Arabidopsis thaliana: one gene and its partners. The protein of the gene in region 4 interacts with the protein of the main gene of each other region in a pairwise test. Each region holds a gene or a part of one and is shown on either strand. Other genes may lie near its edges. The genes, in order: AGL26, AGL43, AGL53 and AT5G38620.

Evidence for each region.
Region 1: the proteins of AT5G38620 (region 4) and AGL26 interact in a two-hybrid assay, tested with the Arabidopsis thaliana proteins (one large-scale study listed by BioGRID).
Region 2: the proteins of AT5G38620 (region 4) and AGL43 interact in a two-hybrid assay, tested with the Arabidopsis thaliana proteins (one large-scale study listed by BioGRID).
Region 3: the proteins of AT5G38620 (region 4) and AGL53 interact in a two-hybrid assay, tested with the Arabidopsis thaliana proteins (one large-scale study listed by BioGRID).

Annotation. Positions count from the first base shown.
Region 1 is NC_003076.8:9,453,640-9,462,231, forward strand, and holds AGL26 (tRNA (cytidine(34)-2'-O)-methyltransferase), read right to left. Parts: upstream 5,583-8,592; 5' UTR 5,552-5,582; coding exon 5,282-5,551; intron 5,205-5,281; coding exon 5,136-5,204; intron 5,062-5,135; coding exon 5,003-5,061; intron 4,885-5,002; coding exon 4,824-4,884; intron 4,753-4,823; coding exon 4,699-4,752; intron 4,590-4,698; coding exon 4,311-4,589; 3' UTR 4,052-4,310; downstream 1-4,051. Other genes in the region: LON1 (lon protease 1), read left to right, coding at 103-142, 339-510, 672-796, 878-1,008, 1,111-1,215, 1,348-1,461, 1,603-1,770, 1,894-1,995 and 2 more; AT5G26865 (AGAMOUS-like MADS-box protein), read right to left, coding at 3,662-4,042; AT5G26890 (uncharacterized protein), read left to right, coding at 6,826-7,077.
Region 2 is NC_003076.8:16,075,711-16,083,335, forward strand, and holds AGL43 (AGAMOUS-like 43), read right to left. Parts: upstream 3,655-7,625; coding exon 2,680-3,654; downstream 1-2,679. Other genes in the region: UMAMIT42 (nodulin MtN21 /EamA-like transporter family protein), read right to left, coding at 40-105, 185-378; UMAMIT37 (nodulin MtN21 /EamA-like transporter family protein), read right to left, coding at 4,104-4,257, 4,485-4,636, 4,711-4,869, 4,947-5,196, 5,477-5,590, 5,673-5,738, 5,808-6,025; UMAMIT40 (nodulin MtN21 /EamA-like transporter family protein), read right to left, coding at 6,615-6,765, 7,078-7,229, 7,307-7,465, 7,542-7,625.
Region 3 is NC_003076.8:9,522,037-9,529,555, reverse strand, and holds AGL53 (AGAMOUS-like 53), read right to left. Parts: upstream 1,816-7,519; coding exon 952-1,815; downstream 1-951. Other genes in the region: AT5G27065 (uncharacterized protein), read right to left, coding at 4,854-4,889, 4,952-5,227; RLP53 (receptor like protein 53), read left to right, coding at 4,146-7,022. UniProt on the Arabidopsis thaliana protein: Probable transcription factor that may function in the maintenance of the proper function of the central cell in pollen tube attraction.
Region 4 is NC_003076.8:15,460,252-15,468,343, reverse strand, and holds AT5G38620 (MADS-box transcription factor family protein), read left to right. Parts: upstream 1-3,436; coding exon 3,437-4,486; downstream 4,487-8,092. Other genes in the region: AT5G38640 (NagB/RpiA/CoA transferase-like superfamily protein), read left to right, coding at 84-138, 262-324; CYB-1 (cytochrome B561-1), read right to left, coding at 833-1,129, 1,226-1,425, 1,782-1,830, 2,057-2,203; AT5G38610 (Plant invertase/pectin methylesterase inhibitor superfamily protein), read left to right, coding at 6,900-7,499; AT5G38600 (Proline-rich spliceosome-associated (PSP) family protein / zinc knuckle (CCHC-type) family protein), read right to left, coding at 7,878-8,092.

The DNA of each region.
Region 1 (8,592 bases), 6.0 Mb from region 4:
TCAGCCCGCTTCACAAAATATGCTTGCTATTTTCATCCACATACCATGTCTGTGTAATATATATACATATTTGGTTTGATTCATTTAAGTCATCCAATGCAGGAGCTTGGTGTGGAGACAGATGACAAATCTGCACTTTCTGGTCAGTACGAACTTAAAGTCTTAAACTATCTTCAATTACATGTAGTCAGTTTATATCCTAGTTAGAAATTTAGAATTTCACTGCCTCATGGATCACAATGCATTCATGAGACGTCAGTGTCTTTGGTATGAGTTTGGAGAGCCGTGCACTGTTAATTGTATGACAACCACAACTTATAGTCTGTTCTTTACTGCAGCAAAGTTTAAGGAAAGGATTGAGCCTAACAAGGAAAAAATTCCAGCGCATGTATTACAAGTCATAGAAGAAGAGCTTACAAAGCTGCAGCTGTTAGAGGCGAGTTCAAGCGAGTTTAACGTGACGCGTAACTACCTTGATTGGTTGACCATATTGCCTTGGGGAAATTACAGGTTTTTTACTTTTCATATATCTTTTTTTTTTTTTCTGTTTAAGTAAAGCAGTAAGTCTTTTGGTATGAGAGACTGATATAGAGACGGATGAGCTCTCATCTCATGGCACCATTTGTTTTTGTGTTCACTGATTTGAGGAATCTATTTTGTTAAATTTGCAGTAATGAAAACTTTGATGTTGCACGGGCGCAAACAATTCTTGACGAGGATCACTATGGCTTATCTGACGTAAAGGAAAGAATACTGGAATTTATTGCAGTGGGAAGACTTAGAGGCACTTCACAAGGTTTGATACTTATCCAGTAATTGTGATTTGATCTTGTTGAAAAAAACTTGTCCCCTTAAATTTGAGTAAATGTGTCCCCAGGGAAAATCATCTGCCTCTCCGGCCCTCCTGGAGTAGGCAAAACTAGTATTGGGCGGTCTATTGCACGTGCTCTTAATCGCAAATTTTTCCGGTTCTCTGTTGGAGGGTTAGCAGATGTCGCTGAGATCAAGGTATAATACCTTTGTTTTGGTATACTTGCAAATATTAGTCAAACATTTGTGACTGAATTCTTTCCTAGAAACAAAAAACCATTCTTGTAATTACATGTTTAGGGGCATCGTCGGACATATGTTGGCGCCATGCCAGGAAAGATGGTGCAATGTCTAAAGAGTGTGGGGACAGCAAATCCTCTTGTTCTAATCGATGAGATTGATAAGGTAATATATTTTTTGTTTTGATATTTGTCATCATATGGTAGCTTCTTTTATTCATCAGTACAATACTGTTTCAATCTCTAGTTACCAAAGACAAATTTCTCTGCAATAAATTGCTATATTGTTCCTTTGCAGCTGGGGAGAGGCCATGCTGGTGACCCGGCCAGTGCTTTGTTGGAGCTTCTGGATCCAGAGCAAAACGCAAATTTTCTGGACCACTATCTCGACGTTACTATAGATCTATCAAAGGTAATTAAATGTGGTCAAGGACCAAATTTTGTATTTCTTTTCTTCATGATGTTCTGTCCACCAATAGATGGATATGAATACCATTTTGTTTCATGTGATACTAGGCCGATTGAATTTAATTGCTGATCCATTTCCCTACAGGTTTTATTTGTGTGCACAGCAAATGTGATAGACATGATTCCAAATCCTTTGCTAGACAGAATGGAGGTGATTTCTATTGCTGGGTATATCACTGATGAAAAAGTTCATATCGCAAGAGACTATTTGGAAAAAACTGCACGTGGAGATTGTGGTGTCAAGCCTGAACAGGTCTCACTTTCATCCTATTCTCCAATTGTCTCTTCTTTTAACTCTCGGTAAATTAAAATGAGTGAGTGATTATCAATGAATCACATACTTCTAAGATTTCGTCAATTTGTTCGTACTATGCAGGTTGAGGTGAGTGATGCAGCGCTTCTTTCCTTGATAGAAAATTACTGCAGAGAAGCAGGTGTTAGGAATCTCCAGAAACAGATCGAGAAGATTTACCGTAAGGTAAGTTTTGCTACAAGACTCCGAATTGATTCCTCAAGCCCTCAATGTCGAACACCATTTACTTTTCTGTTGTAGATTGCACTTAAATTAGTGCGTGAAGGAGCAGTCCCCGAAGAGCCTGCAGTTGCAAGTGATCCTGAAGAAGCTGAAATCGTGGCTGATGTTGGCGAATCCATAGAGAATCATACTGTCGAAGAAAACACTGTGTCCTCTGCTGAAGAACCAAAGGAAGAGGCCCAAACCGAGAAGATAGCTATTGAAACGGTTATGATTGATGAGTCAAACCTTGCGGATTATGTAGGAAAACCGGTATTCCATGCAGAGAAGCTCTATGAGCAGACACCGGTAGGTGTTGTGATGGGTCTAGCTTGGACATCAATGGGTGGTTCAACATTGTACATAGAGACGACTGTTGTGGAGGAAGGGGAAGGTAAAGGTGGCCTGAATATAACGGGTCAGCTCGGTGATGTGATGAAAGAAAGTGCACAAATTGCTCACACAGTCGCCAGAAAGATCATGCTAGAGAAAGAACCAGAGAATCAGTTCTTTGCAAACTCCAAGCTTCATCTCCATGTTCCTGCAGGAGCCACTCCCAAGGATGGTCCAAGTGCAGGCTGCACCATGATCACATCTTTACTATCACTTGCCACGAAGAAACCCGTTAGGAAGGACCTTGCAATGACTGGAGAAGTCACACTAACCGGAAGAATTCTTCCTATTGGTGGGGTAAGTAACTCCGGACTTCTCTCACTCTATTCTATTAGAGCCTCTCTTTTTTTTTCCTTTTTTGACAATGTACACAAAAATGTTACAGGTGAAAGAGAAAACTATAGCGGCGAGGCGGAGTCAGATTAAAACAATAATATTTCCAGAGGCAAACCGGAGAGACTTTGATGAGCTGGCAGAGAATGTGAAAGAAGGGCTTAATGTTCACTTCGTGGATGACTATGGAAAGATCTTCGAGCTTGCCTTTGGCTATGACAAACAAGAAGACTGAGAACACACATAAGCCACGTTGACCTTTTGTCATCTGTTGTTGTCTCCATTTAAACAACACTACCATTCTTGATTCTCTTTGATCTTTTTCTTCCTTCAAGAAGAAAGTTATTCTGTAACTTTTTTTTTATGATTAGGGTAATTTATTGGTGGTTGGATTTTATTATTTTGGTATATAACCAAAGCCAAATATCATAATAAGACATCAGAACAAAGTAAAAAAAACAAAGTTGTTTCTCATTTTGTGCTTGTAATTTCATCAACATATTCGCGTATTACTTTCACTGTTGCTATGTGTTCGATCACACTTCATAACAGACTAGTAACTTGTTGGCATAATTTTCTGTTTTATATTCCTTTCTACTGGATTAGATGATGGGTAATTTGACTATTAAACTATGTAATGAAATGTATATATATTCTTAGTTCGTACTCAGACAAAAATAGGATTGAGAAGATAGCATTCATACTTAGGAAAAACATACAATTCAACACAAACTCTTCATCAGACAATTAACCTCATATAATCTGATATCTGAAGTAGAAACAGAGGCACGGACTTGATAGAAGCTACAGTTGTCATGGTTATAGAGAAAGACTGAAAATTTGCTCTGATGTTGACTCAATGGTGACGTCGATAGGTCTTGCTCTGTGTTTGACACACCGATATTCACCAATGGTTCTGTCCATTGTTGATGACGGGGATCTGACCTAACTCGGTCTGGTTTTTCTCGGGTTGTAGTAACAGAAGCTTATCTTGTAGTACCCGTAGACCACTTTCTAATGAATCCTTCATCTCTAAGACTTTCTCCGAGAGCTTACTGTTGTCGAGGATCTTCTTACGTAGAAACAGAGAAAGGTTGGTTCTTTTCTTGCGTCGCTCTCTCTCGTGTAGTTTGCTAAACCTCTCTGCCATGTCTCGAACCTTGGATTGATCCTCCGGCCATGTCTTGATGAGTTCTCCGTCACGACTATAAAGTATGACACAGACTTCGATATCGCACAGAGTTGAAAGCTCGAGGGCTTTCTTAAACATTGTATCTTCTCTCATAGACAAGTTTGGTTTCTTCTCACAGAAAATTTGGTTTTCTTCTTGACATCGAAGAATCTATTGTGATGTTTTGTTTACACAGAGATAGGAAAAAAATTAAGCTTTTAGCTTGTTCTCAAAGAGAAAATAAACTCTGAAGGAGAGAATTGGGATACAGATACAATAGGGTTTAGGGTAGTGACTCCTTCAAGATGAATATGAATGCTTACCAACCACCAATGGCTATGCCTCTACGTCTCCGTCTTCCTTTTTGCAACCATCCAATGTATCAAGCAAAGATATCCTCTGTCAACAATGGTTCTTCACCATTCACACAGCCTTGAGGTGCACACTCGATTTGCTCATAGTTAAGTTGTCTGGACGCTTCATACAGAGCAATCCCTACACTCACCGAAAGATTCAGACATCTCACATACGTTTCTACCATGGGAATACGTAGGGTCCCCCCTCCATATGGTTCGTGATTGCAGTCTGACAGCGCTTCAGGAGGTAGACCGCTTGTCTCTGACCCGAACAAGAGGTAATCGCCTGATCGGTAAGAAAAATCCTGCATCAAGTTGTAACCATTGTTTTCAGCTACCCAATTGCTAGTGATTGTTGCTATTTCTGGTTGGTAAACAATAAACTAGAGGTGGAAGGACAAGCAAGCAACTTACTGAATGTATCCTTGTTCCTCTTTTTGTAAAAGCTATCATTCGTTTTTCTCCCTCCTAAACCAAAGAGAAATATCAGACACCACACACACATAGGGACTTTAGCTACTCAAGGACAAGTGGTAAACCTGAAGCCTGAAATATTCTTGAAACTCAGCCCATGAGCTATGCGCTTTGACAACCACAAAGCTATGCTTTAAGTTAAGAAGAAGAAGAGCTAATGACAGCGACTAAACCTTAACACAAAAACAGTGGGGTAAACTCTCATTTCTCAATTCCTATGTAGTAGACAAATTAGGTAGGATACGGCCAATAATCCAAACCAGCTCGCTTAACTCTGGCGTCATCCACTTGAAAACCTAATGGCTGAAGCAGGAACAAATGACAGATTAAGTCATCAACACTGGAAATAATGAACAAGTCGTGTTTGGTTACTTTACCCCGACTAAATGCAGACCAACAGCTGAGGCAGCACATGTTCTTGCAATGCAACCTGTATTCCCAGGAATCTGTCAAGGAGAGTATAAGTTGTTTAGATCCATCAACATGTACTAAGAAGACCAAAGGTAGCAGTGAGAGTGCAAACCTGAGGAGAGACCAAAACTACATGAAGCAGCTTACTCCTCGCATCTTCCTTGACTCCTTCTCCGGCCCCTCGCGGCAGGGGATTTTTCTTATCTGACTCGCCTATACCAACTCCTCGGAGAGCATGAGACTGAATCTTGGAGGAAAACGAGTTGATGGAGAGAGATAGCTTGCCCTTGAGATGAGTTAAGCTAAGAGAGGGAAATAGACGGCCACTTGACCGCAGATGAAACGTCCTTGAAGCTATGACGCTCCGACAGCAACTCTCCATTCCCTCGCCTCCCTTCTCCGCCGCCCGCAGATTCCACGACGTCAAATAAGATATTAATCAATTGGGCCGGATACTTTTAGGCCCATTCAATACTATATCTAATCGCTAAAGATGAATTGGGTTAAGGGTACTACTTCAACTTAAGTAGTGAAAGTTGACATGTTAAATTCGATTTCCATATTTTACATTTTGAAGAAAACATACAATCGGGTTATATAGAATTTTTTAAATTCGATCGATTTCCATATTTCATACTGATTTCCATATCTTTTCTTCATTTAATGATGAAATCTAAAATTAGATCCTATTTCTAACCGTCGTAAGGTAATTATTAATTAATTAATTAAGGTAAGCAAAAACCCTTAATTATTGTCTTCACATTGAAGAACCCATTGTGTTGTTTACACACAAAAAAATAATAAAAAAATATAGCTCATCAAAGAGAAAATAAACTCTGATAATTATGTAACACGGTTCTGATATTAATCTAACCGTTGGGGTTTTTCAATAATTGTAGTAAAAACTCCTAATTTTTTTTTGAGTCACGGAGAAATTAAATTTAAAAGAGTTCTACAATTTTTTTTGTCTATATAACCTTTTTTTGCTAAATTTCAATTTGAACCAAAATACCCCTACTTTATATTTTAAGCATTTTTGAAAAAGTTTGACCTTAATAACATGTAGATCTACAAGAATATAGTTGATTTGTAAAAAAAAAAATTGTTATTTAGTTAAACAAAAATTGATTTTTTGATAGATAAAATTTTGTCTAAATTTTTTAGAAAACGATTTCTAGTAATCTATTAAGTTTAGAATTTCTATTCTAATATTTTGTACATATTTTACAATATTTAGACTATTTTTCTTTCTAACAATCTTAGAAAATAGGATATTCAATATCTAAAAATTGTAGAACATGTATTCTAAAATTCCTTCATGTTCTAAACTATGTGTGAAATTGTATTCTAAGAATTTCTATAGTTTCTGAAAACACTAGAACACGTTTTCTTAGAAATTTTCACTTTTAGAATTTATATTTTAACCCAAATTAGTTTTTTGTTTCTAAACTATTTAGAATAGATATAAAAAGTGAATCTTTGAAAAAAGAAAATAAATATTTATTAGATTTGAATTATTAAATCTACATGCAACTAAAATTAACAGCTCAACATGCAAATTGCAATTGACACTTCATGAGACACAAAATTGAGAGAAAAGACTAAGAACCAACCAAGTGATTCTAAGAACTTAACAAATCGAAACAGTTCTTAGAGATGAGACCTGTGAGGGAAGAGAGCGGCGGCGACACCGTTCTGAAGGCGGACTTTGGCGGTTTTGGTGGCGGAGAAGGAAGGGAGGTTGAGATGAGTGGTCACGACGGTGATGAAGAAGATTCAGGTGACTTTGGACACGACGACGCCGACCACAGAGAAGGCAAAGAAATCGCCGGCGACGACGACAACAGAGATGGCAAAGAAATCGCCTGCGACATGTGGAGAGTAAGTTCGCCCGAAAAAAAATTATAGAGCTGAATGCTTTTTTTTTTAATCGAGTAAAGGAGGAAGAGAGACAAAAGATAGGGTTTGTGAAAGAGTCTAATACATTTAGAGGATTTAGGTTCTCAAAATTTTACTTTAAACTAGTATTTCTTTTGTATAAATAGATTAGGAAATTTTAATTATAAAATAAAATGAGGGTAAATAAGACTTATTTTTTTTTGAAAAACCTATTTGATTAATTTATAAGAAAAAGAAATAGATGGACAATTTATTTTTAGATATCCTCTAGATTTAATTTCCCTCATAAAAATGCTTTGTATGTTTGATATCATAGAGAAAATCTAAATTAGATCCGATTTTACAAATATCAATCTAACCGTTGTAGTAAATGTAATTACTGATAATTAATTTAAGGACAGCAACAAAAAAGAAAGGGAATGTGACATTATTAGGCATTTTGTGAGAATCTTTTTACGTTTGAGGCACTTATGAGGGAGAAGACACTTTGCCATCTTTTTGAGAGGAGATTGGACTAATTTGCCCCTGAAGTGGTGAAAACACAATAATTTTTAAACTTATTTTTAATAAGATCGTGTGGGTGAGAAACTTTTTTTTTATATCATCTATCCCTTCCATATTCTTTTGTTTTCATCATTTTCAATCCCTCTTTCAAATCATAGTCGTTCTCAATAATTTTTACAAAATTATGAAAATTCTGAGGTTATCTCAAAATTCACAATCACAATCTATGTTTACCCTAAATTTCCTTTATTTTTTCAGTTTTGTATTTTTTTTTCTCCATTCTCCGTCATCAAATCCATTTCATTATCTGCAGCCTCCATCAATGAACGACTGTGACCAACAAAAAAAAGTAACATCATCGATTTCTCCTTTTCGAGATGAAGAAGAAGGAGATCCTTACTCTCTGCTACAAAGCTCCCTCTTCCCTTAATCTCCCTCTTTTTCTGGTTCCATGTTCTTCTCTCTTGTCTTACTTATGGTTTCTGGTTTCGTTGTTTTTTTTTGGGTAAAAGGTTTCTTTGGTTTTGAATCATAAAGGCCAATGTTACATGTTATTCGTTGATTCTAGATTAGGCTTTAGATTGTAAATCTTAAAACTTTTTTTTTATGTTATGTGTTCTTAATTTTATGATTTTATCCTTCAATTTAAATTTATATTTGTTAGATCTGTTGAATTTGTTGCCTTTGTTTTTGAATTGAAAAATGTTTGGATGTCATTTGCGTAGACGGAAAGTGATTGGACGCATAAGGCTGGGTATGTGGTGGTTATGCAAGAAGATTGGTTGATGTTTATGAGCTTTTTTTGAAACTTTGGTCCATGAGGCTGCGCTGGCCGCCGTGAGTTCCAGTGTCTTGTCTGGCAACTCCATACTTATGTCGACTCATGGATGTCAAGAAAAGTTTATGAGAAAACACGAAAATGTATATCCATTTGTTCGGCGCTAGGTGGATACACCTTCATTTCTTACACTATATCCATTTGGTCTATGTTTCATGGATACAACTCTACTTCTAAAAATC
Region 2 (7,625 bases), 610 kb from region 4:
GCTACTAGATATAGTGTTTCCAAAATAAAAGTAACTTACGCAATTAGACCAAGAATCCCCATGTTGCATAGAATTGAAAATGTCAACGGAGGGAGAGATCTTGATCTGTAGAGATAAGTCTATGTAAGAAAAATTACTTAATACTTAACATAAAACTTGAAACAGAATCGTGAGAATGAAGAACCTGAAGGAGAAGAATGTAAGAGGAAGAAGAAGAAGAGATCCAAAAGTGTAAGAGTATACAAGAACCACAAATGGGCTAAGTCCTTTGGACGTCGCTGCTTTGACCAGAGTGTTTACTCCTACGTTAGAAAACTCTGTCACCACCATCGCCGTCAAGATCCAGCCATCTCTGTTACATAACCTTCCATGAACCATTTTTTAGTTCTTGGCTTCTTCTTTCTTCTAAGCCTCTGTCTCTCTGAAATTTGTATATATTATTAGTTCATGGGATCTTGATGGGAAAAGACATGTGAAACAGTCTCCATCAAATAAATGATTAATTGTTGTCTTCTTATTGGTTGAAAAAACATTTATTTGTTGGGTATGAAATGTATGTGGTCTCTGAAAAATTGTAATTAAATGGATTCCTACACATGTTGTGGCTAGATTAAAACACACGTTTCATATTTCATTTTTACATACAAAAAGTTATTGACAAACAAATTATAGATGGATGTATATATCCTCATCAAACATCATCAAATAATTACAAAACGTATAAACATGTGACATCTATATAGATAGATAGATAGACAAGATAAACCAGGACCATCTTCAAATGGGTACAAAACCAATAGATGAATCCAAGAAATTAGAAGAGAAGCTAAAACTAAATTCTTATTTACCCTGGCTCTGTATAAACAGGGACCAACCATCTTCTAATGGGTCCAAAAGTAAGTAATTAAAGGATTTCACTTGCATCTAACATATCTTCATGGTAAGGTTTCATTTTCTTTTGTTGTGTTTAGGCAACAAAAGTGACTGCTGTGAAAGACTTGCTATTTTGGCTGCATCTTCTCTTGCTTTGCCCCAAATCACAGTATAAAACCCAAAGCTCAATATCATTGATCCAATCACACTGTCCACAACACAGAGATGCAACATAGTAACATGAAGATCATGAGACTAAACATTTCAACAACCTATAACTAAGATAACTAAGTTTATATCACTTATGTTTCTCAAGAAAGAGACGCTATAGTTGAAAGATATGGCACATCCAAAGGTGAAGTGCATCGCCAAGGAATATAGCACCCATGACGACTGCAACTGCTATAAACAACGGCTTGAATAAGGATACATACACTGGACCATTCAGGTGGAGACCCCATGTGTGTATAACCGAGCACAATGATGAATCAAATACTCCCTGAAACAGAGTGGTAGTTTCTGAGCTTAAAGATAAGAGTCAGTAGTTGAAGCAGGTTATAAAAGGTTTGACTTTAACCGAGTATATGACTGCAGCGAGGAAATATCCGGTTTAAGCTGCCAAGAGGTCAAGTCTTTTTCTGCAAACTGGTGGTGAAATTAGCATTCCACATAAGTTGTAGAAGAAGACTACAGTTATTTCTTCAGGGTAGATCTCCATGACCTGACTCTGAAATCATGTACAGCTGCCAAATTTAGCTTAAGTTTATGTGTAACCAACAAAACCCAAAATCTCATTCATGAATCAGTTCCAAGTATATGTACCTGAAGAATATACCAGACTGAAACAAGCAAATACTGTGAAGTGATCAAAAGGCCTCCAATTATCCAACTTGACTCGAATGAAGTAAAAGATGCAGCATCAAGAACTTTTCGGCCTTTATAGAGAACAACAACCAGAGCAGCAGATATCGATACTATCTTGCCAATGATCTAAGCCAGATTTGCAGAGCTTCTTAGTGTTACTTGTTCCATCCTTTATAAGTCACCAGATAAAAAAATTGATAGTCACAAAAAATCCTCATATCCATCAGAAGTTTCTCGGGAAAGAATGATAGGCTAACATGTTGATATCACCGCAAGGTTGTACTAGTACAACCACAATTAGTGGCATGAGAATGTTTCTGCATTTTGGTATTGTTTCATATTTGACAGTTACTGTCTGTGTTCTGATATTGTTTCATATTTGATTGTTACTGTTTCAGAAACATATATTTTGTATGGTTAACGTGGAACCACTCGGTTGTTCATTTTCTACAAACAGAGAGGAAAGAAACAAGGTGGAACCTGAAGAAGACGGCAAGTATGAAGGTGGAAGATGGTGTGAGGTTGCTGATAGCAGAGGTAAGAGTTGGGGAACTATATTCAATAGCTTTACAACCAGCTACCTGTATGGAAAGTGAAAGTGCATGTACTGCTTCATACTATCCAACTAATAACCATAAAAAAGCTGGAGATAATTCAGATTATTATAACATATAACTGGTGTTTCCCAATGGAACACATATGCTTAGTTCTACTTATACAACTAACACACACATACACAGTTATTGCTCTGTTGAGAGTCTCTATTGGAAATTTGAGTTTATTATGCATAAGAGAGAAATCAGAAATAGATCATAAGACTGGCTTTTAGTAATTAATGTTTCTAGGGATGATGATTCAAAATTTATTACAATATTAGCTGAATACAGAACAACAACACACCTAAGAACAAGACATTAGACACACAGAATTAATCATAAGAAATTAACAAAAGTCTGCATAACCGTAACCATAAAGTTCATTCTGCATCAACTGATTCAACCAGGGGTTATTCACAGATTCTTCTACCGCCGAGTAATGTTGTGTGCTTGAGACGCAAGGATGTTCACAGCTGTTGCTATTGATGTTACCCACAGACATGTTATGATCACAACCATAAAACTCCTTGTGCATCAACCCAAAGTTGTTCACAGATTCTTGTACTGAGACGCAAGGAAGTTGAAAATTGTTGTTGGTGATGTTACCCATCCACATGTTCTGATTCTGATCATTACCACAAATCTCCTGCTTCATTAACTGATTCTTCAACTCAGATTGTTCAAGTAACGCTGAGAAATAATCCTGATTGAAATTTGATGCAGAGACTGGGATCTGAGACAGAGTATTGTCTCCATGATTATACATAAACAGCGAGAACTGGCTAGGGTTCAAAGATTGGGTCTGATGATTCAGAGAGGATGATGCTAAACTGTGGTGATCCGGTTGTGTCTCATTCTGTTTCCGCGACTCAAGAAATTCAAGCCTTTCGTGGAATTTAGAGACATGGAGTTCCAAGGACTGAATCAGTGGAGAAACTTGGTCGGGAGGGTAATGATCAGCGAGTGGATACTTTAAAACATTCACCTTCTTAAGACTCGTCTTCCTCTTCTTGTCCGTATTCTTCAAACCCTTGTTCTTCTTCTTCTTGTTCAGGAACCCATGAAGATTAACGCTTTTCTTGCGTCTCAATGCTTCGTTTAATTGACTATACCTAAGAGCAATGTCTCTCACTTTCTCTCGCTCCGGAGGCCATGTCTTGAGTTCTCCGTCTGGTCCGTAATAGATGACGCAGGCTTCAATATCACAGAGAGTGCAAAGCTCTGAAGCTTTCTTGAAGATGGTCTCAAGTCTGTTGCTCAAACTTGTTGAAGCGAGTGAATAAGCGGAAGAGGAAGAAGGTAAAGATGATCGCATAGTCATTATTGTTGATTTCGAAGACAAACTTTCTGTTTCAGAGTGAAGAGAAAACACGAAGACAAACTTTGGCGGCTTTGTGAAAAAGATGAAGAAAGTGAGAAGGAAACTGTGTGAATTAGAGATATATTTTGATCACTAGGGTTTGAAAAAATATTTATCACTCTCGCTGATCGGTGAAAAAACGCGTAAAGATATGTGTGTGTGCGCTTTTTTAGATTCGATTTCCATATATTTGCATAGATTTTGCGTTTAGAGCCGTTAAGGGTTGTTGATAAAATGGAAATATAAGAGAAGGTTTCCTAACTGGCAATATCAGTCGTCTTACATTAATTAAAAATCCTTAACTTGAAATAGTACAAGAAAGAAAAACATACAAAATTACCATATGTACAATGTAGTGTAGCTATACGTAAACATCAATGGGGACCATCTCTTAACAGATTCCACTTGCATCAGTCACAGCTTAATGAGGCTTCTTCTTCTATGGTGTGTGAAGGCAACAAAGGGGACTGCTCAGTACCAGCCACAGTTTTGATTGAATCCTCTCTTGCTTTTCCCCAAATCACAGTGTAGAATCCTAAGCTCAAAATCAATGATCCAATGACACTACACACAATATATATGCCGGATAATTAGTACTGTCTCGAAAGAAATATTTAGAAACTATATATGGCGGCTAAGTGTGACTTGTGACGAATTAAAACCAGAAACCATATAACTCTCAATGTAATTCCATGGATAGATACATGGCACTAAAGCTGAATGTTATGGCACCTAGATATTAGATAATATGTTGTGTGTGATATTTATGAAGATTGTGAAAGATAAAGTACCTCCCAAGGTAAAGTGCATCGCCGAGGAACATAACACCCATAGCGACCGCAATGACAATAGACAACGGCTTGAACAAGGATATGTAGACTGGACCCTTAAGATGCAGACCCCAAGTGTGTATAACTGAGCCAAATGATGAAACTAAGCCTCCCTGAAACAGAGTGTTAGTTTCTGAGCTTAAAATATAATCATTACTTGAAGCAACATATTAGGATTGATTCTCACCGAGTACATGACTGAAGCAAGGGAGACACCCGGTTTAAGTATAAAAGAATTCAAGTCTTTTTCCGCAAATAGACATACTGGTGCCGAGATAAGCGTAGCGCATAAGTTATACAAGAATACTACAGTTATTTCTTCAGGGTATAACTCCATGACCCGAGTCTGAAATCATATAGAGCTACCACATTTAGCAAGAGTTATATAAGTGTCACCAACATATCCAATGTCCTTTTTCATACCTGAAGAATATACCAGACTGAAACAAGCAAATACTGTGTAGCGAGCAAAAGACCTCCGATTATCCAACTCGAATCAAATGAAGTCAAATGCTGGTAAAGCGAAATGGTAGGTGATGGAGGTGTAAGAGATGCATCAGTTAGAACTTTAGGGCCTTTATAAAGAATAACAACCAAAGCACCAGATATAGATACTATCGTGCCAATGATTTTGGCCTGAGTCGCGGAGCTCCTTAAGACTATTTGTTCCATTCTTTTGAGTCACACAAGGAAGCAGTAACAACAAGAGTTAAATGTTCAGCTGATAGAAACAAACACCCCTCTAGTTTACCCATATTTCTCTCTGTCTCTTAGAACAACATGTGGGCACAACATTTTTTATGCAACCACAAGGTTGTACTTGTACTAGTGGCTGTGACAAAAGCAAAAGGCTTAAAACTTTGAACGGTTAAATAAGTGTGGAACTACCGCATTGTTAACTAAATTATCTATATACTATCCCAGAACGGAAACGAAAGAAAAAGAGGTGGAACCTGAAGATAACGGCGAGCGTAAATGTGAAAGCTGGTGTCAGATTGCTGATAGCAGAGGCAAGAGTTGGTGAACTATATTCTATACCTTTACAACCAACTATCAGAGACATGAACCTGTTTCCCAAAAGTTAGCAAACTAGAAAAGAAAAACAGGTAAATGAGGCTAAATCTGGTAGTATAAGGAGTATATCATTACCCAACAAGCGCAAGTAAGAAAATATTGAAGAAGACAGGGGTCTTGGCAGAAGGTAATCGTTTTGACCTGCACATAAACTATGTTCACATTCTTGAAATTTTTATACTGGTCAAGAGTACTTGAAGAGATCAGTACCTTCCAAAAATGAGGGAAAGTGGAAGAAGAACAAGTGTAGCAACAACATAGGTATAGAAGACAAAGACATAGAAGCTCAATCCTCGCAATGTCGCAGCCTTGAACAGTGTATTAGATCCAACCGTAACACACTCCACCGCGACCATTGCAGTGAACGGCACAACATCTCTGCAAAAGTAACTCCATGCCACTGTCTCCCCTCCTGCTCCTCTTGTCATAGATCTGATGTCAGACTTTCAAAAATTCTCAGAAGTCAACGTGAGTTTATAAGAAATCATAGTGGTTAATCACCTCACGTTTGCTAATTATTTTATTTAGATAAATTACTCCAACAACTTGACCAATACTTTACATCATTGTCACAACTAATATATACATTGACCAATACTTCACACCAACTTAACCAATACTTTACACCATTGTTACAATTCAACTAAAATACATATCATGAAGGATCCGATCCAGATAATCAGGGATCTTCCAAATCAAGAAACTACGCATCTACAAAGAAAGCTCTATACCTTAGAAAGATAATATTTGGCCATGGAGCTCTACCTCTTTTACTCTTCAAAGAGGGCAGGGATTTATCTACCAGAAACTTATGTAAGGTTGTGAACGCACTGATAAGATAATTAAAAGGACCAAATATTTCTTATAGATTCATAATTCTCATTCATATGTAACATCAAAATAAAACAAGAAAAAAAGAACAGATATCTTATATGTAACTATAGACATATATGGTACACCTCTTTTAGGGATCCATATTTATTAATAAATAGTATAAGGATTTCACTTGCATCAATCCTAGCTTAATGGAAAGGCTCCATCTTCTATGATATGTGTAAGCAGCAAAGGTGACTGCTCAGAACCAGCTACAGTTTTGATTGTATCCTCTCTTGCTTTGCCCCAAATCACAGTGTAGAATCCAATGCACAATATCATTGATCCAATGACACTGCCCAACACAAAATATGCAAAACTTCTATACGTTATTACTGTCTCAAAATGCTTATTGCAGTTTACACAGAGATATACAGTGGAATTGTGGAGACTAAGTGTTTCTCACATGTGAAATAATACAGAAGAAACCATATATGAGAGCTCATGTAGAATAGAATCCAGAAACCATATAACTCTCTAAATGTGATTCCATAGATAGATACATCATACTAAGCATTTCAACTACCAAGAGCTGAGTACTATATTTCTCAGTACAGATAAAATATTCTGAATACGCTGGAAAGTAAGAAGATAAAAGAGATGGTACCTCCCAAGGTGAAGTGCATCGCCGAGGAATATAGCACCCATGGCGACTGCAATCGCAATAGACAATGGCCTGAACAAGGATATGTATACCGGACCCTTCAGATGCAGACCCCATGTGTGGGTAAGCGCGCTGAATAATGAAACGAAGACTCCCTGAAACAAAGTGTTAATTTCTGAGTTTATAAAATCGTCAGTTCTTGAAGCAGATTATAAGATCTGATTCTTCTCACCGAGTATATGATTGCAGCGAGGGAAATGTCTGGTTTAAGCACCCAAGAAGTCAAGTTGCTCTCCGCAAAAAGACATACTGGTACTGAGATTAGTGTTGCAAATAAATTGTAGAAGAAGACTACGGTTATCTCTTCAGGGTAAACCTCCATGACACGAGTCTGAAACCATATACAGCTACAGAATTTAATGTGTAAACCCAAAGTCTTTTTTAGTGAAATTTTCAAGTGTTTGTACCTGAAGAATATACCAGACGGATATAAGAAAATACTGTGAAGCAAGCAAGAGCCCTCCGATTATCCAGCTTGACTCTATTGAGGT
Region 3 (7,519 bases), 5.9 Mb from region 4:
ATTTTATTTTCTGTTGTAGGTTTTAGTTTTCGAAATTTGCAAGTTTTGGTTTTCTAAGCTCTGCAGTTTTAGTGAAATTTCAGGTTTTTGGTTTAAGAAATTTGCATGTTTTGGTTATCTAAGTGGCATGTTTTGGCTTGAGAAATTTCAGTTTAGTTTAGTTTTCTCTTCTTACCCTAAGTTTAGTTTCAGTTTCAAGTTTGTTTCAGGTTTCTCTTCTTACCCTAAGTTTAGTTTCAGTTTCAAGATTTGAGTTTAACTTGGTTAAGTTTATGTTTTAGTTTGGTTTCAGGATTGAATTCATATAAATCAATGTTATTGTTTCAAAAAAGTCTTTCAATTAGTCGGTCTAACCTTCCTAACTTGGCACACATATGACACTTCAATATAATGTTCAGGTTTAACGTTATCATGTACCCTTTATTGCAATACTCAAATCTTCAAGAATCGGGTAAAACGAGATAAGCAACTGTATAGCTTCATTATTGGCGTATATACGTAGACAAAACTCACTTAGGCATTGTAATCTGCAAATTCATTGGCATCAAATATCCAACAAAGCCAGAGTTTTTCCACCTCTTGGACAAAACACTACTTTTAACAACATTTTTTGTTGGAAGCTGTCACCAAAGCATCTGACTCATCAAAGTTGGCTTCTCTGCATAAATTATCGACATCTAACCTTCAATATCTATTGTATATTAAAAATCTGAACATAGCAGGTTTTCAAACTCAAATATAAGACTCAGACAATTATAGAAGAAGCCAAGACTGTTTTTAGAAACTTGAGAAAATAGCATTCATACTTGGGAAAACATACAATTCAATACAAACTCGTAATCAGGCACAAGAAGAGACAGTTAAACTCATAATCTAAATGAAGAATACATATATAATAGATCATTATAAAACGTACACCAAGTCAAAGATCAGTTTTTGGAACAACAAGAACTAATTATAAGGGAACATCATTGGATCTGCAAACGACGGTGCTTGATTCCATGCCGCAAACTGATCAAAGGGGACAAGTGGGGTTTGTGTCTGCATCTGAGGAGGAAAAACCATGGGAGGAAGATCAAAGTTACTTCCTAGACCAGATCCTTGTTCCCCAAGTAAAGCCGATTGGTCAAAGCTAGAAACTGAGTCAGGGACTTGATAGAAGCTACGGTTGTCATGGTTATAGAGAAAGACTGAAATTCTGCTCTGATTTTGACTCAATGATGACGTCGATAGGTCTTGCTCTGTGTTTGACACACCACTCATCAATGGTTCTGTCCATTGTTGATGACGATGATCCTCAATTAGCGAAGGAGGAGGAGACAATGGATTCGTTGTGGAAGAAACCGCACGGGTCTGACCAAACTCGGTCTGGTTTTTCTCGGGTTGGAGTAACAGAAGCTTATCTTGTAGTACTCGTAGACCACTTTCTAACGAATCCTCCATCTCTAAGACTTTCTCCGACAATTTAGTGTCGTCGAGGATCTTCTTACGTAGAAACAGAGAAAGGTTGGTTCTTTTCTTGCATCGCTCTCTCTCGTGTAATCTGCTAAACCTCTCAGCCATGTCTCGAACTTTTGATTGATCCTCCGGCCATGTCTTGATGAGTTTTCCGTCACGACCATAGTATATGACACAGACATCGATGTTGCACAGAGTTGAAAGCTCCAAGGCTTTCTTGAACATGGTCTGTTCTCTCATAGACAAATTCGTGGTCTTTTTTGCAGTAGAAGAAGAAGACAGGGACGATTTCTTGAAACAAGTTTGGTTTCTCACAGACAATTTGGTTTTCTTCTTCGTCGACATTGAAGAATCCATTGTTGTTGTTTACCCACAGAAAAAGAAGAAGAAGATACCTAGTTTCTTATCAGAGAGAAACCTAGAAAATAAACTTAGTGTAACTAACACACGGTTCAGGGTTATATAGAATTGTGAAATTCTTGTATTTCCATATAATATTTGATATTGATTTTACTAAACCAAGAGAGACAAATTGAGCTGTGGGTTTTATTTCCTTTTTCTTTAGAGTATCTTTTCTTCGTTAAATGATGATGATTTACTTCTATTAATCTAACCGTTGTGATATTTAAGTAATGAAATTCCCTTTTTGTTTGCTGTCTATGAGATAAATCTTAATTAGATACGATTTTCCTTTACCAATATCAATGTAACCGTTGTAGATACGATCTTAGATACGATTTCCCACATCCAGTATCTTATTATATAAAGTATAGTTTTTAAAGTTACTAACTCATAAGATTGTGGCACGTGTCAAGTCTAATAATGAGAAGTTTATATGTGTCATTAAAGATTTAACTTTTTAATTTTCTTAAAAAAATAGAAAACCTTAAAAAGAAAAATTTACATATATTAATTTCTTATTATATAAAGTACAGTTTTCAAAATTACTACCTCATAAGATTGTGGCACGTGTCAAATCTAACATTGAGATGTTTACATGTGTCATTAAAGATTTAACTTTTTAATTCTCTTAAAAAAATAAAAAACCTTAAAAAGAAAAATTTACATATATTAATTTATATATATCTAACAATATTTAAACTTTATTTTTCTTAACAAAAAAGAAAATTAACAAATTTGAAAACACATATATTATTGGTCAATTAAATAAATAATCATGTATTAATTTAAAAGAAAAATCATTAAGTATGAATAATAACTAATTAAAAAGACCACTTAAGTTTAAAATAACAATATAATTTATTTAAAATTAATTTAATTGGATAAAATTGTGTTTATCATTGTAATATAGTGTTTTCATTTGTTAAATTTTGAACACAAAAATATTTTTAAAATTTAGTGACCTTATTATAATAAATTTTTAAATATTTAAGATTTATTCTAAGAATTTTAACGTATTCGGTGATTGAGCAACTTGGATCCTTTGATATGTCACTAAAAGCTTATAACTATGTTTTATTGTAAAAAATTTAACGCATGTAGTCATAAGTTAAAACACAAGATTTTTGGAGAGAACAACTTATATGATTTACTTTTCAATTACTTAAAAAGAAGTTAGTATATTTTTTAATTAATTTTAACTCATTTAAAATAAGTTTACATAAGAGAAAATTACGCCATATATAAAGAAACATTTTAAAAAGTTTTGCTTTTCAAATATTTTTGTGGATTTTTTTTTTGTTAAGTTTTGTTTACTGTTTATTATTTTTTTAATATCAACAAAGATATATATTAGATCTGATATAAATATATTTTTTTAATAAAAAAAAATTCACTTAAGATGAAGTGTTTAGAATGAAAATCGAGTATATTATGATGAAATAGATACTTAAATTGTATTGCAAAATTGAATGTGTAAGATAGAAATTTGTAGGTTATTATTTAGAATTCAAATATCATCAATAAGCTTGAATGTGTAGAATTAAAATGTATGATAAAAGAGAATGTATAAGCATCAAATTTTGTTAAATAAAAAAATATTAAATTAATTGTCAAAAAAAATATAAATTACTATTTTATTATTCAACATTTGAATACTGTCAATAAAGATTTACATCTAAATCACACACCCGCCTATTTAGGCGGCCTTATTAGTTTTTTATAAAATAGTCCCAAATTTTAGTTTTAAGTAAACACAAAGAGGAATATTTATACTCTTCCGAGTTCGCTGACATATGGTAAAATGGGCCTTCGTTTTCTTTTATCCGCCTTCATTGTTGGGCCCTAGCCCAGTTGTTTTTTTTGCGCAAAATTAATACATCGATGGGGATTGACTCTTGACGCTGTCGATCATCACTATTCACTAGCACTAGTAACAATGAACAAGTCATTGCTTACCTGCAGAATTCATTTTCCACGATCAATTTAATTTGGCTGGACAAAATACAACGTTTTTTTTTCATGTTCCCTGTACGTAACTAAAAAGTAAGACAAAAGGAGTGGAAATGGACATTATTCAACGTAAAGACTTTTTAAGTCGTTGCGTTTAACGTGAAAAACGCCTCGGAGGGTCAAGCTGTGTTGGAATTATCTTTGTGGAATAGAGTCTATTATTTTTGTATATAAAGAGATGGGCATGAAAACATGTTACGTACCATCACAATTTCCAGATTTTATTTTTTTGCTTTTTCACTATCAATATTCAAGAAAATTAAATTAGCTTAAGAATGATGGAAGGCTTTTGGAACTCAAAGAGTATCATTCGTATTACTCTCTCTTTTATTTTCTTATTCATTTGTCATTTTCTGGACGTGCTTGCGGCTCCAACTAGGAACTTGTGTCGTCCCGAACAAAGGGATGCACTCCTCGCGTTCAAAAACGAGTTTGAGATTGGGAAGCCTTCTCCTGATCATTGTAAGATTTATGGCATTGAATCTCCTCGGAAGACGGACTCATGGGGGAATAACAGCGACTGTTGTAATTGGGAGGGAGTCACGTGCAATGCCAAGTCCGGGGAAGTGATCGAGCTAGACCTAAGCTGCAGCTCTCTCCATGGCCGGTTTCATTCCAACAGCAGTATTCGAAACCTTCATTTCCTAACCACTCTAGACCTTTCATTTAATGATTTTAAAGGTCAAATCACGTCATCAATTGAAAATCTTTCTCATCTCACCTATCTCGACCTTTCTTCTAATCATTTTTCGGGTCAGATTCTGAATTCAATCGGAAACCTTTCTCGTCTCACCTATCTCAACCTTTTTGATAATCAATTTTCGGGTCAGGCTCCATCATCAATTTGTAATCTTTCTCATCTCACTTTTCTAGATCTTTCTTATAATCGGTTTTTTGGTCAGTTTCCGTCTTCTATCGGAGGTCTTTCTCATCTCACCACTCTCAGCCTTTTCAGTAACAAATTTTCGGGTCAGATTCCATCTTCAATTGGAAATCTTTCTAATCTCACCACTCTCGACCTTTCTAATAACAATTTTTCGGGTCAGATTCCATCTTTTATTGGAAACCTTTCTCAACTTACCTTTCTCGGCCTCTTTAGTAACAATTTCGTTGGTGAAATCCCATCTTCTTTTGGCAATCTAAACCAGCTGACCCGCTTATATGTTGATGACAATAAGCTCAGCGGAAACTTTCCCAATGTCCTACTGAACTTGACAGGGTTGTCACTTTTATCACTCTCCAACAATAAGTTCACAGGCACGCTTCCTCCTAATATCACTTCACTATCCAACTTGATGGATTTTGATGCAAGTGACAACGCCTTCACCGGAACGTTCCCTTCTTTTCTCTTCACCATTCCTTCTTTGACTTACATTCGTTTGAATGGTAACCAACTCAAAGGCACTCTTGAGTTTGGAAATATATCTTCACCATCTAACCTATATGAGTTAGACATTGGCAACAACAACTTCATAGGACCAATCCCTAGTTCCATTTCCAAATTAGTCAAACTTTTCCGACTTGACATTTCCCATTTAAACACCCAAGGCCCAGTTGACTTTAGTATCTTCTCCCATCTCAAGTCACTCCTAGATCTAAACATATCCCATTTGAACACCACCACTAGGATCGACTTGAACTATTTCTTATCATATTTCAAAAGGCTCCTTTTATTGGATCTCTCAGGCAACCATGTTTCGGCCACAAACAAAAGTTCAGTTTCAGATCCTCCTTCGCAATTGATACAATCTTTGTACTTGTCAGGGTGCGGTATCACTGAATTTCCAGAGTTCGTAAGAACCCAACACGAATTGGGGTTTCTAGACATTTCCAACAACAAAATCAAAGGTCAAGTTCCTGACTGGTTATGGAGGCTACCAATCTTGTACTACGTGAATCTTTCCAACAACACTTTAATCGGTTTCCAAAGACCATCGAAACCTGAACCATCTCTGCTGTACTTGCTTGGCTCCAACAATAACTTCATAGGCAAGATTCCTTCTTTCATATGCGGGTTGCGTTCTCTAAACACACTCGATTTATCTGACAACAACTTTAATGGTTCAATCCCTCGTTGCATGGGACATCTCAAGAGTACTCTTTCAGTTCTAAACCTTCGTCAGAATCATCTTAGCGGAGGTCTTCCAAAGCAAATATTTGAAATACTGAGGTCTCTTGATGTCGGCCATAACCAGCTAGTGGGAAAGCTACCAAGATCTTTGAGTTTTTTCTCTACTCTTGAAGTTTTGAACGTGGAAAGCAACAGAATCAACGACACGTTTCCCTTCTGGTTGAGTTCTCTACCGAAGCTACAAGTTCTTGTATTACGCTCCAATGCATTCCATGGACCAATACATGAAGCCACATTCCCTGAGTTGCGCATCATCGATATATCACATAATCGCTTCAATGGAACTTTGCCAACAGAGTACTTTGTGAAGTGGAGTGCTATGTCATCACTTGGAAAAAACGAAGACCAGTCTAACGAAAAGTACATGGGATCAGGCCTTTACTACCAAGATTCAATGGTTTTGATGAATAAAGGTGTAGCGATGGAGCTGGTACGTATCCTCACAATCTACACAGCAGTCGACTTTTCCGGAAACAGATTTGAAGGAGAGATTCCAAAGTCCATTGGTCTATTGAAAGAGCTTCTCGTGCTCAGCTTGTCAAACAATGCTTTCAGTGGCCACATGCCTTCATCTATGGGGAACCTGACAGCTCTCGAGTCATTGGACGTTTCTAAGAACAAGCTTACAGGAGAGATTCCACAAGAGCTAGGGGACCTTTCGTTCCTTGCGTATATGAACTTCTCTCATAACCAGCTTGCAGGCCTAGTACCAGGAGGCCAGCAATTTCTAACGCAAAATTGCTCTGCCTTTGAAGATAACTTGGGACTTTTCGGCTCTTCTCTTGAAGAAGTTTGCAGAGATATTCACACGCCAGCATCACATCAACAGTTTGAAACGCCGGAAACAGAGGAAGAAGACGAAGATCTGATTAGTTGGATAGCAGCTGCAATAGGATTCGGACCTGGTATTGCCTTTGGTTTGATGTTTGGATACATACTCGTTTCCTATAAACCAGAGTGGTTCATGAACCCTTTTGACCGAAACAATCGTAGACAGAAAAGACACAAAACAACTCACTAGAGAGGTAATGTTCTGACTCTTAAAACGAATTAGTTAGCAAACATTAGAATAAATTACGTGAACAAACTTTTGAATATAGGTCCGTAATTGATACCGAAATTTGTGAAATATCTCTTTGATCTTTCGTTTTCGCACACAGCACCCAGAAGCAATCGAAAATCTGTTTCGGTGATTAAACCGCTGAAATTTTTAAAAATGTAAACAACTCTTATGTTTGGAATTTGGTGCTTTCTTATAGGCACAATCCTAGGGTGTCCAAAGATAACAACAGAGAAGGAGGTATGAGAGAAATGAAGCTCATATACAAAGATCTGCATTTATGGTTTAATTTGTTTTGTCTAAGAACTCTCAAATGTCTAGTTAATACCTTTCATTTTGCTTGTGAATAAGTGAACCATAAGTACATTTGGAGTGATATAAAGCTTTTAGTTTAATGGCAATGTAAGTTTCATGTGATAGTTAAAACCAAACCTTTTTACGGCGAAGAAGTAGAACGA
Region 4 (8,092 bases):
TGTTTATCGGAGAAGTGAAACTATGTTCTGTTAATACTAATCCTCTCTGCCACTAAACTCGTTTGTGATTTTTCTAATGACAGGTATGATGCTACACCTTCAGATTACATTTCCATGATAATCACAGATTATGGCATGGTAAGATTAACCATCGTCTCTTAAAAACATAGCATTAGGTTCCTGAAGTCTCAGACCTATAAAATACAGTTTCTCCACTTATTCAGAATCTCAAACCATTGAACGCAATGTTTTCGTTTTCAGGTACCTCCCACAAGTGTGCCTGTCATCGTGAGAGAATATCAGAAAGAACACTTGCTTGTCTAAGCAAAGCTCATTTTTGCGAAAGCTCTTCTTCTCCAACCCCCTCCTCTAGCTCAGGCTCTTCTCATCACAACCCAGATAGAATAACTACCGGCACTGCCTCCCCTCATCCGCTTCTTTTCCTGAGTACCGGGTTCATTTTTTTTGGCCTTGACTTGTTTTTAGAAACTTTTGACTCTGTGAAGAGTGCGATTCATCATCCGCCTCTCCGGGAAGATTTTATCGATATCGGTGATGTTTTTCTTTGTCTGTGATGTATGAGTGAGGCTTCTCTTACTCTCCCTTCTCATGGAGGTTGATACAAATCTTTCTCAGATTCTATGCCAATTTTTGTTGGGTTCAGTCTTCAACATTGGTTACACGTGTTCTCATGCTTTACTTGTATTACAGTCATATATGCACTGCTCGTTAAATCAGTTCAAAAAGACTCAATTACATCACAAATTGTCTCTTAAATAAACAATGTTTCGATAGGTCGAAATGTTGAAAGAGATCTTTTCGAGGGTTTACTCTATTGTGTGAGAACTTGATCCTTGCCACTGACCGGAGTAACCACACCGAGTATCACGAAACCGCCAAGAATAAGGATTAGAACGCCCATTGTGTTGACTAACATTGCCTCTGTGGAATACCGAGTTATCACTTGATTCACTTGCAGGAACGTCACCTTCTCAAGTATCCCTGTGGTTGCAGTCACCAACGCCAATGCATATATGGAAATCCCTAAGAACACATGCCATGGCATCAAACTGGCTCTGCTGTTTCTTGAACCACCCGGGTACCAATAAGTCACAAACCCTGCAGCCCACTGTTTGTAACAATAGATTTGAGTGAGTTCTTGATATTTATTCTTACTGAGTAATGGAGATTGTTATTTTAAAACAAGTCAGAACAGAGAGTGTACCTGGAATGCAAAGAGAAAGAGGCAAGCAAGGCCGAGCCACGAATGGAGACTGTAGAAATTTTCGATCCCTTTGTCAATATGGAACTTGAGAGCAGCCCACACTCCGATCAGGCTTAGAATAAATGCTGTGAGTTGTAGTGTAAGATGAACCAGTTTTTTCAAGTTCTTTGTACCTTGAACTGACTTATATGCTAACATAGCTGCATAAGTTGAAGGTACCGTTCATGTTAGAAACGAAAACATGTCCATGGTCTCTTTACCGAATTAACAATGCCGTAACTAAAAACAAAAAAAACTAATCCTATGAGTCCTAAACCTCTTGACATAAAATTTCAATGTACTCAAATGTTAAAAAGGGCAATTCAACAGTTCAGTCTCTTTGACAAATGAAGTATGCGGAAATCGAACATGAAAACCGATACAACGAATACTAAAACCTCTTGACATTAGAATAGTCGCCAGACGGTAATATACTACAAATTTGAAGTCTAAAATATGAAGTTAAGACGGTAATATACTACAAACTCTTAACATGTGAAGGAGATTGTTTGCTTACCTTCTCCATTGAAGAGTATGAGTCCAATCACCATCATCACTGGATGAACCTAAAAACAAAGACATTTGACATCATCAGATATATATCTACCAATGATGACATTATACATCCAAATATGAGTCTCAGATCATAGCTTGTGATCACACAGAAAAGTAAAATCCAAATTTCAATATCTCAACAACACAATCAAGAAATATGAATCTCAGATACAGCAACAAGAACATTTCATCCAATCCATTTCACATGTGAGTCAAAACAACAATCGAGAGAATTACATTAAAGATGTGATCTTTGTTATCAGAAGAAAGAGCTAAGCCTCCTCTGTAATGAACAGTCCATGTCAAAACCAAAGCCGCGATGATGAAACCCAAAACTCTCACTACCATGAAGATCGGAAATCCACCCAGCACCGGAACCGCCATACTAAGCCCAGAAAATGCGAGTCTTTTATACGGCGATCAAAATCAGGATGAATTAGGGCTAGGGTTTTAGTTTTTAGTCGAATTTTGGGGATTTCTGAATCACCCCCTGTGTTTTAGATCGGCAATTACTCGACTTTGAGTTTGAGGTCAACCAGAGTGATTTGCCAGAAATATTATTTTTATAAGATTTTTTAATTATTATTAGTAATTTGATTTAAGGGTAAAAAAATGGAGCTTTGTGTCACTCACAAAACTGATTAGAGTAAAGATCTTTTGTTTATGTCTACTTTGCCTATTTTTATTTTTATTTTGAGAGAATTACAATGACACACACCCATAGATTTTTATTTCAGAGGCAAAACAGTATTGATTAATATTGAATAGTAAAAAAGATGAAATTCTCCAAAAGTATCTCTTTGTTATGAAAAATAAAGAAAGTGTGGCAAAGTGTAAGTCTTCCGGTCGTTAACAATGTTTTCTTCTGCTACCATGTAAGCTTTGTTAACTTCATAATCACATTTTAAGAGTGATACTACATTGTTGATCTTGTGATTAGAAAGAATAAACACGATAATGTGAAGAACCAACTATATATTTGTTTGTGTCTCTCATAATAATCTGACAATTTTTTTTTTGTAGAATCTAAGAAAATAATTATAAAACAAAATAACTAAAAATATCGCTAAATAAATATGAATGATAAGAAAATAACTAAAAATTATCAAAATAAAAATAAATAAATTATCTAACGTTCTAATTAAATACTACACTAATAAATAAATACTAAATTTGTTTATAAAATTAATAGTAATATAAATAATTTGGAGGCAAAATTTAGTTATTTTATAAATTTTGTTTTTAAACTATTAAAAAGAGTCTTAGGTAATTCTTTTTTTGTTTTTTTTTGTTTTTGTGTGGCGAAGGTCCATAGAGCATAGTTGAAATTATATATCTATTCTTGTCCATCTTTGAATAATTTATCATCAATAATGTTATGCTTGTACATAAGCAAATAAGAAAGGATGAAAAAAAAAAAAAAAAGGGGATTCTGGTGGATGGTTAGGCTTAGCCCATATTACGGTCCATGTGGTTTAATCGGTTAAGGAGGATGATATGGGGTTTCGATATTTCCTTTTTCATATGAGATTCGATAGTCCCTTATATATATGAGACTGAGAGATAGAAGAAGCCTTCACTTCAATTATCTGAAAATTGAGAAAAAAATCAATCAGAATGGTGAAAGGCACGAAGAGAAAGATTGCGATTGAGACGATACAGAAGAGAGATTCCCTTAGGGTTACCTGCACCAAACGCCGTAAAGGTCTCTATAGCAAAGCCTCTCAGCTTTGTCTTCTCTCCGACGCACAAATCGCTATCTTAGCGACTCCTCCTTCTTCTGAATCCGACGTCTCTTTCTACTCTTTCGGTCACTCCTCTGTTGATGCCGTTGTCTCTGCTTTTCTCTCCGGAAAACGTCCTGTTTCGGCTCCGAAGGATAACAAAGAGACGAGGGAGGACGTTGGTATCTGTTTGACTCGCAAGAATCTAGGGTTAGGGTTTTGGTGGAATGACGAGAGCCTTGTGAGATCGGAGAATCCTCAAGAGATTAGTGAAGCGATCGGTTCCATGTGGACTCTGTTGAGTAATCTCAAGGAGTTGCGTGCGGATGAAGCTTGCGTTAACGATCACAAGGACTTGAAGAAGAATGAGAAGAGCGATGTTCACGGAACTCAAGATCAAACCCTAATTTTTCAGTCCGCTTCTGCAGTTTGTTGCATCCCTGAAAATCTCAACGATATTACTCAAGAGCCAAATCAAACCCTAGATATTCAGTCCAGTAGTTCTGCAATCTGTTGCGTCCCTGATAAATCACCTGAAATTTTCAATGAAATCACTGAAGAACAAGATCAGATTCTCTCGATTTGTGAAACTTTTTGTGTTACGGATAATAACAACAACAACAACAACAACGCTGCTTTACCTGAAGTTAACCTATATTACAATCAAGACATGGCTATTGATCAACTCATTGACTTCAACACCCCTTTTGAAAGCTCGATAGATGATTGGTTTTCGGACAACACTACTCATCAGGAGACGACTAGTGCAAGTATTTTGAACGATGTTGGTGTTGATGATCAAGTCTCGGTGGATACAAATCCGTTTTCTTATTTTCAAAGCCTTGAAGATGCAGATTTGGTGTTTCAGAGATGTTTGGATGGAGATAATCTACGATTCTCTGATTGTTTCAATGACTTTGCAAACACTATTGCAGCAGTTTGAAGATAATCTCTCTGCAGTTTTCAAATCAACTTCTCTTTGTTATCTGTATGTATTGATTCTATTAGAGATTTATTTGTTCTAGCAATGTAATGAATGATCTGGTTTGACCTCGATCAGTTTTCCATATATGTATGAGGGAAATTGATCGAACTCAAACTGGTTCTCTGCTTCATCAGTTTGGTTTAATGATAATATTTGTGTTCTGTTTCTATGTTTTGTATTTGTAGTTTTAAGTCCAACAAACTCATGTCTTTTTATAAATCTTAATCGGATAAAAAAAAAGGAAATGTCTTTAATTTATGGCAAAATTGGTAGCTAACCAATGAGTATGATAAGAGAATCAGGTGAAATTTCGATTATATACATAGAGTTAACCAACTGGTATGCAATTGTATCATTTACACATTCTACAAAGAAATTGCCACTGAATAAACTTCAGGTTCCTCTGTTTCATTCTTAAAGTCTCAGAGTGGGGACCAAGATCAACATGATACAAAGTGATCAAAGCTAGATTATGTTCATTCATGCATGTCCTGCATACATTATGTTCATTCATGCATGTCCTGCATACTCCGATGCATGCATTGCAATGGTAGAGAAATAGAATGCCCTTCACTTTCCTCTTTTTAAATGCCTTTCAATCGAACATAGTCATCACTATTCAAGTAACACATTATCCAATGATATACGCTCTTTTTCTATAACTTAGATTCAAATGCACACCAATAAAATTGATCATATGACATATACAGCTTAAACAAATATTTTGTTTTAGGACCTAGCTAGATTAGCTTGTTAGGACCGCAAACAACAAATATACAGCTTAAACAAATAATTTGTTCTCTTACGACCGAGAAAGAGAGGACATGACCACGACCTTTCATAGAGTCATCTCCAGCAGTTTCGACGAGACCATAAGATTGAGATTCACATTACTTGCGTCACTATCGACAAGTATACAATTGAGAGACGGTAAAAAATAATTATACTTTATTTTTTTTCATCTATGGATACTATGGCATTATTTATGCTCTATAAAATGGTCTACGGTGACACAAGTAATATTAACTACTGCCGAGCAACTATGTCATTGTCAACAATGCAAACAGACCATGACTTGTTCATTGTGAAGCAAGTCATCCATAACTATCCTCAATGTATGACCTAACGAGGAAACTATATGAGAGAAATAGTAATTAAGTAGAAGATGCACAAATAAATGAAAGAATGAGAAATGTGGGAAGATACTTTTTTGGATGTATTCAGTATTTTTATATAATATCTCAATTAAAATACACATCTTTGCTGATCTTCAAACTCGAATACATGATACCTTATAAACTTGGGAAAAATGTCAATTTATTAATATAATTTTTTTTTTTGAGTAACTATGAAATGTATGTATTATAGAAGTAAACAAACTATTTTTTAAATCTTTCTATTACAAAATTTTGGTATATTTGTGGTGAACCAAAATATTTGTTACAAAAATTGATTATTTTTTCGTACAAAATGATTCCAACAACATTAACACTGGAGGAACAAAAGATATAAACAATGTAGTTTTTCCTTTAAATTTGAAGTTCATTTCAATATAAGTTTGAACTAAAATAACTAAATAATTTAAGAAAGTATCCCATTTAATTTAACAGTTAACATATTGCCTAAGTAAAGTAGATTCTTGAGGAGCTTGTCGATTTTGTTGTAAAATCCGTTACAAAATGAAAATCAAATTGTTCACAGTTAGTTGGAATTTTTTTTGGTTCACAGTCAATAATAAATGGAGAGTTATAGTATATATTTGGATCACTATTACTGAATTAGAAATAGAGTACTGATTGGATAATTTTAATTATAATTTCGTATTAAAATGAGACATTTACATTTGTCTAAATCGGAACTAAAGAAATACTCCAAAATAAAATCAAACATTTACATTTGTCTAAATTGGCGTATTAAGTTTATACGTATATTTGAAATGGAGAAAAATGTAAACGTAAAGAACGGTACTATCTTCCAATTGAAACTTAACTAACCTAGAATAAAATTTGAAGCAAATTTTTCACTTTGAATTTGCAATCAATTTTCAAAAGTAACTGTCCATGCAATAATGACATTTGACAACTTCTTTAATTTTCTTCTAAATTGCATTTAAGTATTTAACGCAGAATGTTCTCATAATACCGAACTAATTATATTGCTTGAGGAATACATTTGTATTAGAGTAGAAGCAAGTGAAAACCCATTGTTGATGACACTTTACTCAACCATCTTTTTTTTTTTTGAACAACAACTCAACCATCTTAAATAGTCAAATATTCCCACAACGCAAACGACGTCGTACGTATACATTCATCTCTCTATATATCAACCAAACAAAAGAATTAAGAAGAATCTCATAACTAGAAAAACAATGAAGCTCTCTCAAGTCTTCTACATTATCTTCTTATTCTTCCTTGTCTCACAAGTAAAGTCAACGTCCGATATGATCGACCAAACCTGCAAATCTTGCGCAGCCAAATCCACGATCTTCGATTACAACTTCTGTGTCTCCTCTCTCAACAACTCTCCAATAGCTCTTCCTTCTCCGACCAATCTTTCTTCTCTTGCCCTTGTTCCAATGCTCCAAGCTCTCGACAACGCCACCGCAACAGCTTCCACCATTCAACAGCTTCTTATAAGCGACGACGACGGTAGTTTCCGCAGTGCTTGCCTCCGTGACTGCCTCGAGCTTTACGAGGACGCGACGGATAGATTGGAGGAGGCAGTGAGAGTTTTTATTACAAGGAAAGAGTTAGGTACGGTTAATGTGATGGTAAGCGCCGCCATGGAATCCGCCGTGACTTGTGAGAATGGATTCAGGGAAAGAGACGACGGTGACGGTGGTGGTGGAGGTGTGACGACGTGGACGTCTCCTATTGGTGATGAGAATCACAAATTGTTTGAGTTTGGTCAGATTGCTCTTTGTATATTCAATATGCTCTCTTCTTCTGTCACATCTCTATCTTTCTAAATCGTTTTCAATCTTTTAGCTGTTTAGGCTTTTGTTTGTATCGAAAACGACAAAAGGATAAAGATAAATGTATTAATGTTCACAAATAATGTGTTTATATCTTTGTGTAAACATTTCCAAAACATCAACTAATAAGAAACATGAGTAACTAACTTTCCATTTTAAGAAGTGAAGACATACCCAAAATAGTAAAACCTTAAAGCTTCGAAAGAAACTTGGAAGAGGAAATTAAATCTAAAACATCTAAAGTCTGATAACTAGAAGAAAGCTTCCACTTTCATGGACATGATACAACAGCATAGAGGGAAAGAGAGAATGTAGAAAAAAATTGAACCCTAACCTCCACATACACACATACACAGCTAAAAGTCTCACAATTTATCTCCTGCTGCTTAATCTATAAGACCAATCACGATCGTCCCTGTCCCTGTCTCTATCGCAGTCTCTGTCCCTGTCCCTATCCCAGTCTCTGTCTCTATCCCTATCCCTGTTCCTGTCTCTATCTCTATCTCTCTCCCGGAAGTCAGCATCGTAAGAAGAATAATCCCTCTTACTTCTTTCGGATAAAGATCTATCTATGCCTGGACTTCTTG